Linked DNA regions of Anolis sagrei. The main gene of each other region encodes a partner of the protein of the gene in region 2 in a complex. Links are inferred from orthologs where the notes say so. Each region holds a gene or a part of one and is shown on either strand. Other genes may lie near its edges. The genes, in order: ADRA2A and GNAO1.

Region 1 (8,245 bases), on a different chromosome or scaffold from region 2:
TTACGTTTATGCATGACATTCGCTTTAGAATAAATCAAAAGGGATTTGGATACATGAAACCTGAAACCGGGAGAAGGAAAACGGATGTTTCTGCGATTGTTTCTCAACGGCAACTACAAAGTGTCCTTGTGCATGGAGTTTTCTTGTGCAGGAGAGGCAACACAAATAGAAAATGTTTAAAAAAATCAGTGTAAATCTGGTAACACTGTGAAGTAAAACAAAAGGGCATCGTATACAATGTTATCTATTTACAACCATGGGCCGGAGCGATACGTTAGCATCGGACATACATCAGAGGAAAGCCAGAGCACTTTATCATAACCTTTGGAGAATCTAATTCCTCTCGAGCATAGCAAATGAGAAACCAGCTTGTCCTTGTGACAGATTCTGTGCCGATTCTATGCTGAATGGATATTTTTCAAAATAACATTCCTTCTTTCAGGTGGCAAAAAAGGGAGATACAGCTTTTGAACAATACTGCTTAAATGACAACACAAACATGAAGTTAAGAAAAAACAAAAATACATATAGGGAGTACGATAAAACGTTGGCTATTGCCAAGCTTATGTTACCAGTTTTGTTTAGCCCAAAATCCAACTGCACATTGGAAATCTTGGTATTTATAATACTATTTTTAATGCTTGATGAGATGGCTCCGGTAGTCCACTGGGGTGTGTTGTTTTGTTTTTTTAAGTTTTCAGAGACACATTGCGTTTTCAAGAAAGATCGGAAGCAGTTGCAAAGCTGATCTCTCCTACAAAAGTTAAAGAGGAACAGATCTCAAAGATGCAATACTGTCATTTTGGGGAGAGGGGGGAAGAAATAGAAAGAAAGTGCTTCTGAAATATATGACTTATAATTTCCCCCTTGCCCACCCCAGCTGGTCCTTTTCAGTTTGTAATGTGTCAGGTTTATAACAACACTCATAAATAAGAGCTTCCAATCCATCACTGGGTAGAGAAACATATCCACTCAGTGTCTGAGGGGTTGTGTACCAATGTTGTAATCATTTCATCTCACCTGAAAGTCTCTGAAGAGTTCAAGCTCAGTAACCAAATGAGATGCCACCCAACTTCCAAAATCCAACCACTCGAAGACACTCGGCCTCGGCAACAAAGAACAGGAGGTCCATTCCTCCTCCTCCTCAGCCAATCCTTTTTCGGTCTAACCTGCAGAGGATCTTTTTGAAGGCCCTCCTGAAGTCATGGTTGAAGATGGTGTAGATGACAGGGTTGAGGGAACTGTTGCAATACCCAAACCAGAAGAAGAACTTGAAGAGGGTTTCAGGCACAAAGCAGCTTTCGCAAACAGCAGTCAAGGTGTAGGTGAAGAAGAAAGGGAACCAGCAGATGACAAAAACCCCAATCACGACCGCCAGCACAAAGGTGAAGCGCTTCTCCCGGTTCTGCCTGCCCCGCCATCGGGATGCCTTGGCGTTGCGCTCCTCCTCGGACCGGCTGGGCAAGACGTCCCCAGGCTTGATCTGGCTGAGCTTGGTCTTACCCTTGCCCCGGGGTGGCTTCTCCTGCTTCTTGGGCTCACGGGTCTCGTTGTGCTCGGAGGAAGAGGTGTCCTCCAGGTCAATGCCGTTGACCTCTTCCCCGTCGTGGCTTCCCCCGGCCACCGCCACCTTCTCCCCATTCAACTTGGTAGCTGCAGTGACGTCCTCCTTGCCGGATAGCCCATTCTGCCGCCTCTCCACGGCCTCTGGCCTATCGCCAGGTGGGACCCGAGTCCTCCTCTTCGCGATCTGGTAGATGCGGACATAGACCAGGACCATGATGAGGCAGGGGGCAAAGAAAGAGCCAATGCTGGAGGAGATGATGTACCAAGTCTCCTTGTTGATGCTGCACTTGGGCTCCTTACTGCCAGCTTGTTCTCCAGGCAGGGGCTCGGGCTCTCCTTGCTTCATGATTGAGATGAGCGGCGGGAAGGAGATGATAGCCGAGATGACCCAGACCAGGAAGATGATGCTCTTGATGCGGCGCGGGGTGCGCTTGAGGTTGTACTCGATGGCCTGGGTGATGGACCAGTAGCGGTCCAAGCTGATGGCACAGAGGTGGACGATGGAGGAGGTGCAGAAGAGGACATCCAACGCTGTGTAGATCTCGCACCAGACCTTGCCGAAGGACCACTGGCCCATGACTTCGTTGGCCAAGGAGAAGGGGATGACCAAGGTGGCCACCAGGATGTCGGCGGAGGCCAGGGAGACCAGGAAGAGGTTCTGGGGGGCCTTGAGGGCCCGGCTGGTGAAGATGGCGATGATGACCAGCACGTTGCCGAAGACGATGACCAGCATGAGTAGGGTGGCCAAGGAGATGAGGGCCAGGGTGACGTGGAGGGAGAAGGGCCCCTCCCGCGCCCCGCCCTGGCTCCCGTTGAGGCTCCCGTTGCCTTCCATGGGCAAGGGAGGATGCCCCGAGCGCAAGTGGGAGGCCACCGCAGAAAAGCCCCCCTCGTCGCGCCCCACCAACGAGACCTCCGCTGGGAACATCAACCCGGCAGCAGGGCTCGGGTGGCAAGGCAGGAGAAGGAGCAAGAGAAGGAAGAAAAGAAGGCTGGCGAAAGGAGGAGAAGAAGAAGGAGGAAGACTCTCAGCCGCCTCCTTCCTTCCTCCGCCTCATCTTCCCACCCGCAAGTTACCTTCGCCCGAAGAGACCCAACTGGGGGCTCTTCAAGATCCAAACGAAGGACGAGGAGAGGTTGCTGCTGCTGCTGTTGGTGGTGGGAGTGATGGTGTGGAGGGTTCGCTCCCTCTGTGGCTTCTCCCGAGCGCTTGCCTGTGTTTGCTGCTCCGCGCTGAGGCTCGCCTTTATAGCGCCGGGTCTGGGATCGGCGGGAACCCAGCGGCGGGCAGCAAGCAGCAAGCGCGGCGTCAGCGCCACGTGGGGACGGACACGCCGCTTCCCCGCCCGCCCCTCCTCCGGCCAGGATCGCCACGCCTCGCGGAGGGACCTCCGGACTCGCGGGGATCCCTCGTGCCTCAGCCCCACGCGCCTCAGCCCCCTTCCCTTGCTTCCCCTTCCTTCCCTGGAGCGCCCTTCGCCTGCTTTGGGGGAGCTCTCCTCTGCCTCTCGCCTCCACAAACGCACGCACACATCTCTATCTATCTATATCAGGCATGGGTCAACTTGGCCCCTCTATAAGTGTTTTGGACTTCAACTCCCACCATTCCTAACAGCCTCAGGCCCCTTCCTTTTCCCCCTCAGCCGCTTAAGCGGCTGAGGGGGAAAAGGAAAGGGCCTGAGGCTGTTAGGAATGGTGGGAGTTGAAGTCCAAAACACCTGGAGGGCCCAAGTTGACCCATGCATGAGCTGTTGTTAGCCCCAGCTTCTGCCAACCCAGCAGTTTGAAAACATACAAATGTGAGTAGATCAATAGGTACTGCTCTGGTGGGAAGATAACAGCGCTCCATGAAGTCATGCTGGCCAAATGACCTTGGAGGTCTCTACGGACAATGCCGGCTCAGGTTGCATTGTAGGAGTTGGTCCATGCTTTGCTCTTCTCCGCACTCACATGTCGTGGACTCCACTTTGTAGCCCCATTTCTTAAGGTTAGCTCTGCATCTCATGGTGCCAGAGTTCAACCTGTTCAGGACCTTCCAGGTCACTCAATCTTCTGTGTGCCCATGAGGGGAATCTCTCATCTGGTATCAACCATTGATTGAAGTTCCAGGTTTTCATCTGCCACTTTTGGACTCTCGCTTGCTGAGGTGTTCCTGCGAGTATCCCTGTAAATCTAAGGAAGCTTTTTCTTGATTTAAGGCATTGGGTTGCTGGCTGATATCCGAACAGAGGATGGGCAAGAGATGTCAATGCTTTGGTCCTTTCATTACAAGCTGCTACTTCCTGACAAATGTTGACCCATGCTTGGTGTATGCTTTGGGTTTTAATTTACACATTGTATTGTTTTATAGTCTTTTGACTCTGGTGGTGCAGTGGGATAAAGTGCTGAGCTGCTGAACTTGCTGACCGAAAGATCGTAGGTTCGAATCCGGAGAGTGGTGTGAGCTCCCGCTGTTAGCCCCAGCTTCTTCCAACCTAGCAGTTTGTAATCATACAAATGTAAGTAGTTCAATAGGTACTGCTCCGGTGGGAAGGTAACGGCGCTCCATGCAGTCATTCTGGCCACATGACCTTGGGGGTGTCTACCGACAACACTGGCTCTTCAGCGTAGAAATGGAGATGAGCACCAACCCCCAGAGTCGGATAAGACTGGACTTAATGTCAGGAAAAAACCTGTACTTTTATTCTAACCCCTTTGCGTTTCCTTTGGGAAAAAGAAGAAAAATATAAATCCATATCATCAGCATCAGCATCCTCCTCCAACCCTTTGGACGAAGTTTGCCCATGCATCATTTTGATAATGGAACTGGAAGTAAATGTTGTTTCCAGTTGCTTGAAAGGATGTTGGGCATGGGTAGTTCACCTACCTCCAAAGAGTGCTGTGAACCCCACCAACTATGGATCTGGACCAAACTTAGCACATATACCCAACATGGCCAACTTTAAGTACTGGTAGGGTTTGAGAGCATTGATAGATGATGATGGGAGTTGTAGCTTACCCACAATCATTATGCATTTCCTAATAGGACCATAGGAGCCCCCGGTGGCACGGCGGGTTAAACCCCAGTGCCAGCAGGACTGAATACCAACAGGTCGGAGGTTTGAATCTGGAGAGAGTACAGATTAGCTCCCTTTACCAGCTCCAGCTCCCCATGCACAGACATGAGCGAAGCCTCCCACAAGGACACATCAGAACACCCGGGTGTCCCACCCGGGTGTCCTCACCGGGTAGTGAGAATTTTGTACTAGGTTTTTTTTTTGTATAATGGAACAAGTAAATATATTTGTATCTATGTCTCTATTTTTCTAAAATCAATAAAGAATAAGTTTTTAAAAAAAAGAACACCCGGGTGTCCCCTGGGCAACGTTCTTGCAGACTGCCAATTCTCTCACACCAGAAGCAACTTGCAGTTTCTCAAGTTGCTCCTGTCATGGGAAAAAATGGACCATTCATAACATCCAAAAACAAACAATCGGGATTTCTTATATTTATCACCAAATACTTAGTCCAGGCATCACCAGGTACCTAAGCTATATAATATACATACATATACATATACACATATGGACACCCACACATCGCAGTTAACCAGCACACACAGGGAGTGATAGATGCCAGATAAATGTCATTTCCAGTTATTTGAAAGTTACTGGTCAAAAATAGCCCTAATTAATAGTCCAGTATTACAAAATTCTAAAATCAGGAGAGTAAATAAAGAACAACACTCAGAAAACAGGGGGAATTCCAGACATGAAACAACCAGAGCCAGCTAACACCTCCCAACAAAGGATTTCCCCAGGCAGCAACCAGCCAGGCTTTGAAGCTGCAAAGTTATTCAATACTACTCAAGGTGGCCAATTGCAACATTCACACTTGCCTCCAACAGACAAGAGTTCTTTGTCCCGCCCTGGACATCCCACAAATATATAAACCTCACTTTCCTAGTTTCCAACAGACTTCACAACCTTTGAGGATGCCTGCCATAGATGTGGGTGAAATGTCAGGAGAGAATGTTTCTGGAACATGGCCACACAGCCTAGAAAACTCATAGCAACCCAATGATTCTGGCCATGAAAACCTTCAACAACACATTTTCTAATACTGTCATGCATAAGACAAATGTTGTGCACACTGAACTATCAGAAAGCAAAGAAGTAACTATCTCAGCCATCGAAGTGGACAATTTGGGAATTTTGGATAAAGAATACTCTACCTGAACTTGTTATTTATGTTCACCACAGCAATCACAATATAGGTCACACATCCTCCTTAACCTTCCTTCATAAATGCCCCATCCCAGCAAAGTTGCCAGCACAAAAAGGTGCAAAGGGGTACACGTTGCTGCTTCATAGCTCGAGAATGGACAGCAAACTGGCATTGGTTTCAACAGGCACCTGGTGATTCTGGCACCAAGGTTGGGACAAGCTGCATATTGGGACAAGAAGGGTATTGACATGCTGGAATACATCCGAGAGAAGGGCAGCCAAAATGAGCATAGGTCTGGAAGCCAAATCCTTGCCACATCTCAGCTGTGGCTCACTGGCAGACACAGGTCCTTGATATGTCTGTTTGCATGTGTTGCTTCTGCTAACAGAAATCTGTTTGCTGTGAAAGCTACCCTGCATCCAGGTACTTGTGTGTCATATCACTTGCAGTTGTGCATTGCCTCTGTATAGAACCATCTCTCTATGCATTTGCCTCACCAAATGCCACAGCAGATGCCCGTGTAAATAAGCATACAGATACTTCAAACACTTCTCAAATGCAACTGTGGGCAATGCAAGTGTAACACAGCCATCTCCAGGGATCTGCCAACATTTACACAGGGATCAATTGAACCCAAGTAAAGCATGCTTAAAAACTCAAACAGAATTAATCATGGGCTTCAGTTTCTTGTGCTGTCTTTTGTTTTTATGATGTTTAGGTTAGCATTATTACATGCATATGTGACTGATCCTATATTCCTATTCTCTATCCAGTAGTTTCCAAACTTTGGACTTCCCAGAAGCCCCATCCAATGGCAAAGAATTCTAGAAATTGAAAAGGAAAAAGCTGAGATCCTTTGACTAAGAGCAGTAGTTCTCAACTTGTAGGTGCCCAGACGTTTTGGCCTTCAGCTCCCAGAAATCCTAACAGCTGGTAAACTGGTTGGGATTTCTGGGAGTTGTAGGGCAACCACTGTCTAAGAGGAATCCATGAGTTTGACAAAGCACTTCATAATGTTTGCACCAGCTTTCGAGGTATTAGGTGTTTTTTCTCTGAGAGACTTTGTTTATTTGGGGCTTTTCTTGCTGGATAAGCTACCATATATAAGTGTCCTAATTCTTGACAGTGATGCACTGCTTCATTAGAGATCCTATGGAGGTTATCCATCTATCCTCTCACAGGAAATCAAAAGTTCTCCTTCAGGAATTCTGGGAGCTGAAGTCTGAAATATTTGGATGACCAAGACTGAGAAAGCATTGCTTGTAGACTAGCAAACAGTAGTAGTAAAAGTACTGATTACACTGATTAACTTTTTGTAAATTGTCAATGAACTTAAATGTGCTTTTCCGAATTAGTTGGCTCTCCTTAGTTGGTGAGTGCCAAGATAGGTCTAGTTCTTTTCTTTCAGCCACCTGCACTATCTGGTACTGGAAGGAAACTGGACATTAAGAAGTGCCCAGCAGTAAACTTACTTTGGATCAGAAATCCTGTTTCCCGAATTCCAGCATTCCAGTATTCGTGCATTACATATTTACGTGACATAACAGATTGGATATGGGACACTCATTCGGGGCTGTTCTGTGTATGTATGTCATGAGGCTGAGAGAATGCAACCTCCCCAAGGTCACCTGGTGGGTTTCTATGGCTGAGCACAGATTTGATCCCTGGTTTTATTCCAATGCTCAAACCACTGCAGCTCATGGTTGATGTGTAGAGGCTTCTGCCTTGCTATTCTGTTGAGGATGAAATTGGATTAGATAGTGCAATGGTTCATTATGCCATTCAGATGTTATGCTTCATTAGATTACACAAAGACTCACATAAAGCAGTGCTGGAATGGGCAGGCAACACTTGACATGTGAGAAAGATTTAGATATTTGGACAGATTAAAAGAAGAACCGGCATGAAGTACTAGTTTGAGCATTGGGCTACAATTCTAGAGACAAGGTTTGAACCCTTGCTTAGCCATGGGAACCCATTGGGGGATAGAGAAGTCATACTCTCTCGAGCTCTGAGATAAGCATCAGCAAAACCTCTCCAAATAAATCTTTCCAAAGCAACCCTGAGAGACATTCACCTGAGGGAAGCTGTAAATCAGAAATGGCTTGAAGGGACCAAACAATAATAGATCAAAAGCTAAACATGAATAAATACTGTGATGCAGCCAATGCAGTTCTTGGAATGTATCAACTGGAATATTGTGTCCAATTCAAGGGAAGTGATAGCACCACTCTAATCTGTTTCACTCATTAGGAGTCTTGTGTGCAATTCTGTGCGCCAGAGTTCAAGGACTACATTGATAGAGCCTGCCCAAGGGGGAGGATGAAGATCATAAAGGAACTGGAAACCAAGCCTATAAAAACAGTCAGGGAACTGGAGATGTTTGATCTGGGGAACAGAGGACCAAGCGATGACGTGATGGCCATCTGTAATATCTAAATAGATATTTAACAGAAGATAGAGCAAGCTTGTT
Region 2 (7,720 bases):
TCATCATATGTGTATGTATATATAGCTATATCAAAACTTAGATATAAATATATATATTATTATTCCTATTATAATATACATCACTCTATATGTATTACACACACACACACATATATATTCCCATACGCTTCATGGTAACCAAGAAGGATGTATTTCAAAATATCTATATCTGTGTAGAGAAAGATATATAGCTATATATTCCTAGATGCCTCATAGTGCACAAAGCCAAGAAGAATGCATTTAGTAATATAATGTACAATAATATAATATTTAATAATATTATATAATATTAATACCCTCTTTCTCATATAGATAGATAGATAGATAGATAGATATTAATCCCCTATCTCTCTCTCTCTCTCTCTCTCTCTCTATATATATATATATATATGGAAATGGGGGATTAATATTGTATTATATTATTAAATATTATATTATTGTACATTATATTATTATAATGTACAAATTATATATATATATATATATATATATATATATATATATATATATATATATGAGATCCATGGTGCACAAAGCCAAGAAGGATGCATTCAATTATATATACATATCCCCCTTTCTATATATGCCCCATAGTGCATATATAGAAAGGGGAAATATATATATATATATACACACACACACATATATTTCCCTTTTCTATAGATGCCCCATAGTGCATATATAGAAAGGGGGAATACACACACACACACACATATATATATATTTCCCTTTTCTATAGATGCCCCATAGTGCTTATATAGAAAGGGGGAATATATATATACACACACACTTCTCTATCTATCTATTTATCTATCTACACAAATCGAATGCCCTGGGATGTACAAAGCCAAGAAGGCTGCATTTCATAATCCATCAATCTCAATCTCTCTCTCTCTCTCTCTCTCTCTCTCTGTATGTATGTATGCTATCTATTCTATTAATCTATTCTATGTATCTATTCTATCTATCATATCCATCTGTCTGTCTATCTATCTATCTATCTATCTATCTATCTATCTATCCATCCATATATTCTATCTATTCTATGTATCTATTCTATCTATCTATCCTATCTATCATATCCACCTGTCTATCTATTCTATCATATCTATCTGTCTGTCTATCTATCTATTCTATCTATCTATTCTATCTATCTATCTATCTATCTATCTATCTATCTATCCTATCTATCATATCCATCTATCAATCTATTCTATCTATTCTATCTATCTATTCTATCTATCATATCCCCATCTGCCTATCTATCTATTCTATTCTATCTATCCTATCTATCATATCCGTCTATCTATTCTATTCTATTCTATTCTATTCTATTCTATTCTATCTCTCTATCCTATCCTATCCATCTGTCTATCTATCCTATCCTATCTATCTACATATATCCAATGCCCCTGGGTGCACAAAACGAAGAAGGATTTCATAATATATAGGGAGAGGGAGGTATATAGATAGATGGATGGATGAATAGATAGATAGATAGATAGATAGAGAGATAGAGAGATGAATGAATGGATAGATAGATAGATAGATAGATAGATGGATGAATGGATGAATAGATAAATAGATAGATAGATAGATAGACAGATAGATAGATGAATGGATAGATAAATAGATAGATAGATAGATGAATGGATGGATAGATAAATAGATAGATGGATGGATGGATGGATGGATAGATGGATAGATAGATGGATGGATGGATGGATAGATAAATAGATAGATAGATAGATAGATGGATAGATAGATAGATAAATAGATAGATGGATGAATGGATGGATAGATAAATAGATGGATGGATGGATGGATGGATGGATAAATAGATAAATAGATAGATGGATGGATGGATGGATGGATAGATAGATAGATAGATAGATGAATGGATAGATAGATAGATAGATAGATAGATAGATAGATAGATAGTGATGGCAAATAGAAGAAATTGAGAGGTGGGAGAGGGGAAGAAGACCACACCTGAGGAAGAGAGGGATGCTCATATCTCACCTGGAGAAGAAGAGACATAGCGGTATCTATGTACGTCCGCATATACACATACATACATGTATCTCTATCTATGTCTGTGTGCCTGCCTCCTTACCCAGCAAGAGGAGACATAGCGGTATCTATGTACGTCCGCATATACACATACATACATGTATCTCTATCTATGCCTGTGTGCCTGCCTACTTACCCAGCAAGAGAAGACATAGCGGTATCTATGTACATCCGCATATACACATACATACATGTATCTCTATCTATGCCTGTGTGCCTGCCTACTTACCCAGCAAGAGGAGCTTGACATCCTTGGCGGCGGTGATGCCATCTTCCTTGAGGTTCTTCTCGATCGCTTTGCTCCTTTCCAAGGCGGCTCTCTCCTCCGCGCTGAGGGTACATCCCATGGTGGTGGGCACACACACAAAAAGGGCGAATCCCCCCCCTATAAAACAACAACAAGAATACAAAAGACCCCTTTTTCCTTCCCTTCTTTCCTTGCTCCAAAGGCAGGGCGAGCTCCAATCAAAGCCAGGGAGAAGGAGAAGACCACCGATGGACCAAAGCCAGGGAGATGCTGGTGCACCAAAGAAAACCAATCTCCCCTTCTTGCCTTCTTCTCTCTTCTTCCCTGGCAGACAATCTCTCCTTAATTCCTTCCTTTCCTTCTCTCTGCGTCTTTTTTTTTTGCTCTGCTTCACTCCAAACGTTGCATCCAAGTGACAGCTTCGAATTGTCGGGGAATTGTCGGGGAATTGTCGGGGAATTGTCGGGGAATTGTCGGGAGCAGCTCAGCCAAACACAACACAATGTTGCAAGGATTTATCTTTGTTGTCTCTTTCTTATTCTTCTTCAGTCTCTTCCTTCTTCCTTTCTTCCTCCTTTCCCCCTTTCTTTTGGGGTTTCTCTTTGGGTGGGGGGGATCTCAAGGGGTCCCCTCCTGCTCCCCCGAACTTGGGGGGGTCTCTAATGGGCGATGGCTGCGAGCGAGGGCATCGTCCAAGGCGATCCTGACGGAGAGAGAAAGCAGAGAGGAGGGAGGAAAGGAGGGAGGGGGAAAAAGGAGGGAGGGAGGAAAGGCAGGGCGAGAGCGCCGCCTGCTTAGCGTTGCTCCTTCCAACGGAGGGGAGGGGGGAAGAGAAAGAGAGAGAGGGGGGGGGGAAGCTGACTCTATGACGTCAGAGCTCTCCCTGTCTCCTGCGCATGCGCCCCACTCCTAAAGGAAAAGGTGGGGGGAATCTAGAGAAAGAGAGGCCAAAGGATGGGAAGGAAAACACCCATTTCTAAGCAGAAGATCATTCATGATCCAACACGATTTGGGTTCCTGGGTTCTAAACCCCATTGCCTCATTGGTCCTATCATAAAAACATTATAATATAATATAATATAATATAATATAATATAATATAATATAATATAATATAATAATAGTATAATATAATATAATATAATAATATAATAATAATATAATATAATAATATTATAACATATAATATTTAATAAAATAAAGATCAAATATAATGATAATAATATAATACTATTACTTACTTTGCAACATAAAAATATAATATAATATAATATAATAATGATATAATAGAATAATATTATAACATATTTTATTATAATTATTATAATAAACCCCATTGCCTCATTGGTCCTATCATAAAAACATAATATTATAATATTATAATATAATATAATAATATTTAATAAAATAAAGCTCAAATATAATGATAATAATACAATACTATTACAACATAATAACATAATATTATAATATTATAACATGTTTTAATATAATAGAATAATAAAATAAAATATAATAGAATAATGATACAATAGAATAATATTATAACATATTTTACTATTATTATAATATAATAATAAACCCCATTGCCTCATTGGTCCTATCATAAAAACATAATATAATATTATAATAGTATAATAATATAATATAATAATATTATAACATATACTATTTAATAAAATAAAGATCAAATATAACGATAATAATACAAGGATATTACAGTATAATAACATAATAAAATATAATAAAATAATATTATAACATATATTAATATAATATAATAATATATAATATAATAATGATATAATAGAATAAGATCAAAGCATATATTAATATAATTATAATAATAAACCCCATTGCCTCATTAATCCTATCATAAAAGCATAGTACAATAATGTAAAGATATAATATTAATATAATAATATAATAACATATATCAATATGATTATGATATATTAATAAATCCCATTGCATCAGTCATCCTATCATAAAAATATAATATAATAATATATTATAACATATATTAATATAATTATAATATAATAGTAAACCCCATTGCCTCATTGGTCCTATCATAAAAGCATAGTATAATAATATAGAGATATAATATTAATATAATATAATATAATATAATAACATATATTAATATGATTATGATATATTAATAAATCCCATTGCATCAGTAATCCTATCATAAAAATATAATATAATAATATATTATAACATATATTAATATAATTATAATGTAATAATAAACACAATTGCCTCATTAATCCTATCATAAAGACATAATATGGTAATATAAATAGAAATATGGTAATATAATATAATTATAGTATTATAACATATATTAATATAATTATAATATAATAATAAACCCTGTTGCCTCATTAATCCTATCATAAAAACATAATATAATAATATAATATAATAATAATATATCATATTAATATAATTATAATATATTCGAAACCCCCTTTGCCCCATTGGTCCTATCACAAATAATGTAATAATATAGTAGTATAAGAAAAATATTATATAACAATAATAATATAATAATATAACATATTAATATAATAACAATATTATATTAGAATATATTCTAAACCCCCATTGCCTCACTGGTCCAATTATAAAAACATAATATAATATAATGACATATATTAATATAATATTATAATGCATAATAATATAACACAGAGGCTGCAGTGGCTCAGCGGTTTAAACCACAAAGTTGCAAAACTTACTGACCAGAAGGTTGGTGGTTCGACTCCGCTGATGGAGTGAACTCCTGTTGTTAGCCCTAGCATCTGCCAACCTAGCAGTTTGAAAACATGCAAGTGTGAGTAGATCAGTAGGTACCGCTTCTGTGGGAAGGTAAAGGTGCTCCATGCAGTCATGCCAGCCACATGACCTAGGAGGTGTCTACAGAAAACACTGGCTCTTTGGCTTAGAAATTGAGATTAGCACCCCCCCCCCCCCCCCCCCCCGAGTCAGACATGACTAGACTTAATGTCAGGGGAAACCTTTATCTTTAATTATAATATTATAATATATTCTATTATAACATATAATAATAATAATAATAATAATAATATATTATTATTATTATTATTATTATTATTATTATTATTATAGGGTTGTTGTAGGTTTTTTCGGGCTATATGGCCATGGTCTAGAGCAGTGGTTCTCAACCTGGGGTCCTCACGTGTTTTTAGCCTTCAACTCCCAGAAATCCTAACAGCCGGTAAACTGGCTGGGATTTCTGGGAGTTGTAGGCCAAAAACATCTGGGGACCCCAGGTTGAGAACCACTGGTCTAGAGGCATTCTCTCCTGACATTTTGCCTGCATCTATGGCAAGCATCCTCAGAGGTAGTGAGGTTTGTTGGAACTAGGAAAAGGGGTTTATTTATCTGTGGAATGACCAGGGTGGGACAAAGGACTCTTGTCTGCTGGAGCTAGGTGTGAATGTTTCAACAGACCACCTTGATTAGCATATAATGGCCTGATAGTGCCAAGAGCAAACTTTTGTTGAGAGGTGATTAGATGTCCTTGTTTGTTTCCTCTCTGTTGTTGTGCTGTTGTAATTTTAGAATTTTTTAATACTAGTAGCCAAATTTTGTTCATTTTCATGGTTTCCTCCTTTCTGTTGAAATTGTTCATATGCTTGTGGATTTCAATGGCTTCTCTGTGTAGTCTGACATGGTGGTTGTGAGAGTGGTCCAGCATTTCTGTGTTCCCAAATAAAATGCTGTGTCCAGGTTGGACAGGAGGGATCCTCTCACCTCTGCAGGAGTCTACCGTGTACCATGCAGCTGTGGACAAGTCTACAGAGGGACCACCAAACGCAGCAGCATTGCCCAGACACGAATCAAGGAACATGAAAGGCACTGCAGACTACTTCAACCAGAGAAGTCAGCCATAGCAGAGCACACGATGAACCAACCTGGACACAGGTGTGAAAGAGGTTGTAACCTAACCCAAAACATCTGGTCAATAATACTCTACTCCTAAGTTAGCAATCCATTGCTGGTGAGGAAAAGCAAACAGAACAGAGTCTCCAGTTTGTGTATTTATTTAGAAAATTCATTCCCCGCCTTCTAATCCCGAAAAGGAGTCTCAAGCTGGCCGAGAGCCATCAAAAATACATTCAATACAAAAGAAAAGCAGAGAGCAACAAAGCAAAGCCAACGCAATCAGCAAAGAGTAAACCTTAGGATGGGTCAAAAGTCTGGTTTTATAACGTGCCTGAAACCCATCAAAAGAAGAGAAGAGACTTGCTTCTTTGTGTCTTCCAGCTGGATAAGTCATCAGGATGATATGCCCAGCAGAGCATGGCTTCCTTGGTGGCACGGAATATCAGCCCCACAAGGGAATCCAATTTGGAATTTTGCTATCTTAGCGGAGGTCTCTGACTGTTACGAACTGCTGGAGTCCAAGCTGAGTGCCTCTATAGTCTATAGTCGCCTGTGCGCATTCAGAAGAAAGCTGAAAGGCAAAAGCTGCACATCGCAAGTGCTGAACCTGACTCAGCACATAGAAGATGGCTTTGAAAGGCAGCAGATCACAGGGCTGTCTTCATAGACCTGTCAGCAGCCTATGATACTGTGAACCACCGCCTCCTCCTGAGAAAAATGTATAATATCACAAAGGACGACCACCTCACCCGCCTCATAGGAAGCCTGCTACAAAACATGAGCTTTTTTGTTGAATTCCAGGGCCAAAGAAGCAGATGGCGGAAACAGAAGAACGGCCTGCCTCAGGGGAACGTGCTTGCTCCATCCATGGTCAACATCTACACAAATGACCAGCCACTGCCAGAAGGGACAGAGAGCTTCATCTATGCTGATGATCGTGCCATTACCACTCAGGCAGGGAGCTTTGAGATGGTTGAACAGAAGCTCTCCGAAGCTCTAGGTGCCCTTACTGCCTATTACAGGGAAAACCAACTGATCCCTAATCCCTCTAAAACACAGATATGTGCCTTTCACCTTAAGAACAGACAAGCATCCCGAGCTCTGAGGATTATTACCTGGGAAGGAATCCCACTGGAGCATTGCAGCGCACCCAAATACCTGGGAGTCACCCTGGACCGTGTTCTGACCTACAAGAAGCACTGCCTGAACATCAAACAAAAAGTGGGTGCTAGAAACAATATCATACGAAAGCTGACTGGCACAACCTGGGGATCACAACCAGATACAGTGAAGACATCTGCCCTTGTGCTATGCTATTCTGCTGCTGAGTACGCATGCCCAGTGTGGAACACATCTCACCACACTAAAACAATAGATGTGGCTCTTAATGAGACATGCCGCATTATCACGGGGTGTCTGCGCCCTATACCACTGGAGAAATTACACTGCCTAGCCGGTATTGCACCACCTGACATCCGCCGG

What was found.
Region 1: the proteins of GNAO1 (region 2) and ADRA2A are in contact, whole or in part, in a cryo-EM structure (PDB 7W6P), measured with the Homo sapiens proteins. The link is inferred for Anolis sagrei from reciprocal best matches to the Homo sapiens genes GNAO1 and ADRA2A. Residues at the interface, in NP_066268.1 of Homo sapiens: Ile28, Lys32, Lys193, Asn194, Leu195, Asp218, Phe336, Thr340, Asp341, Ile343, Ile344, Ala345, Asn347, Leu348, Gly350, Cys351, Gly352, Leu353, Tyr354; in NP_000672.3 of Homo sapiens: Arg77, Arg146, Ser149, Ile150, Ala153, Ile154, Asn157, Leu158, Arg160, Pro162, Ile234, Ala238, Arg241, Arg383, Arg386, Phe387, Val390, Leu391, Phe444, Asn445, His446.

The regions. Positions count from the first base shown.
Region 1 is NC_090023.1:209,258,356-209,266,600, forward strand, and holds the start of ADRA2A (alpha-2A adrenergic receptor), read right to left. Parts: upstream 3,054-8,245; 5' UTR 2,495-3,053; coding exon 1,145-2,494; 3' UTR 1,021-1,144; intron 755-1,020; 3' UTR 1-754. UniProt on the Homo sapiens protein: Alpha-2 adrenergic receptors mediate the catecholamine-induced inhibition of adenylate cyclase through the action of G proteins.
Region 2 is NC_090028.1:7,028,279-7,035,998, forward strand, and holds the start of GNAO1 (guanine nucleotide-binding protein G(o) subunit alpha), read right to left. Parts: upstream 3,109-7,720; 5' UTR 2,421-3,108; coding exon 2,303-2,420; intron 1-2,302. UniProt on the Homo sapiens protein: Guanine nucleotide-binding proteins (G proteins) function as transducers downstream of G protein-coupled receptors (GPCRs) in numerous signaling cascades.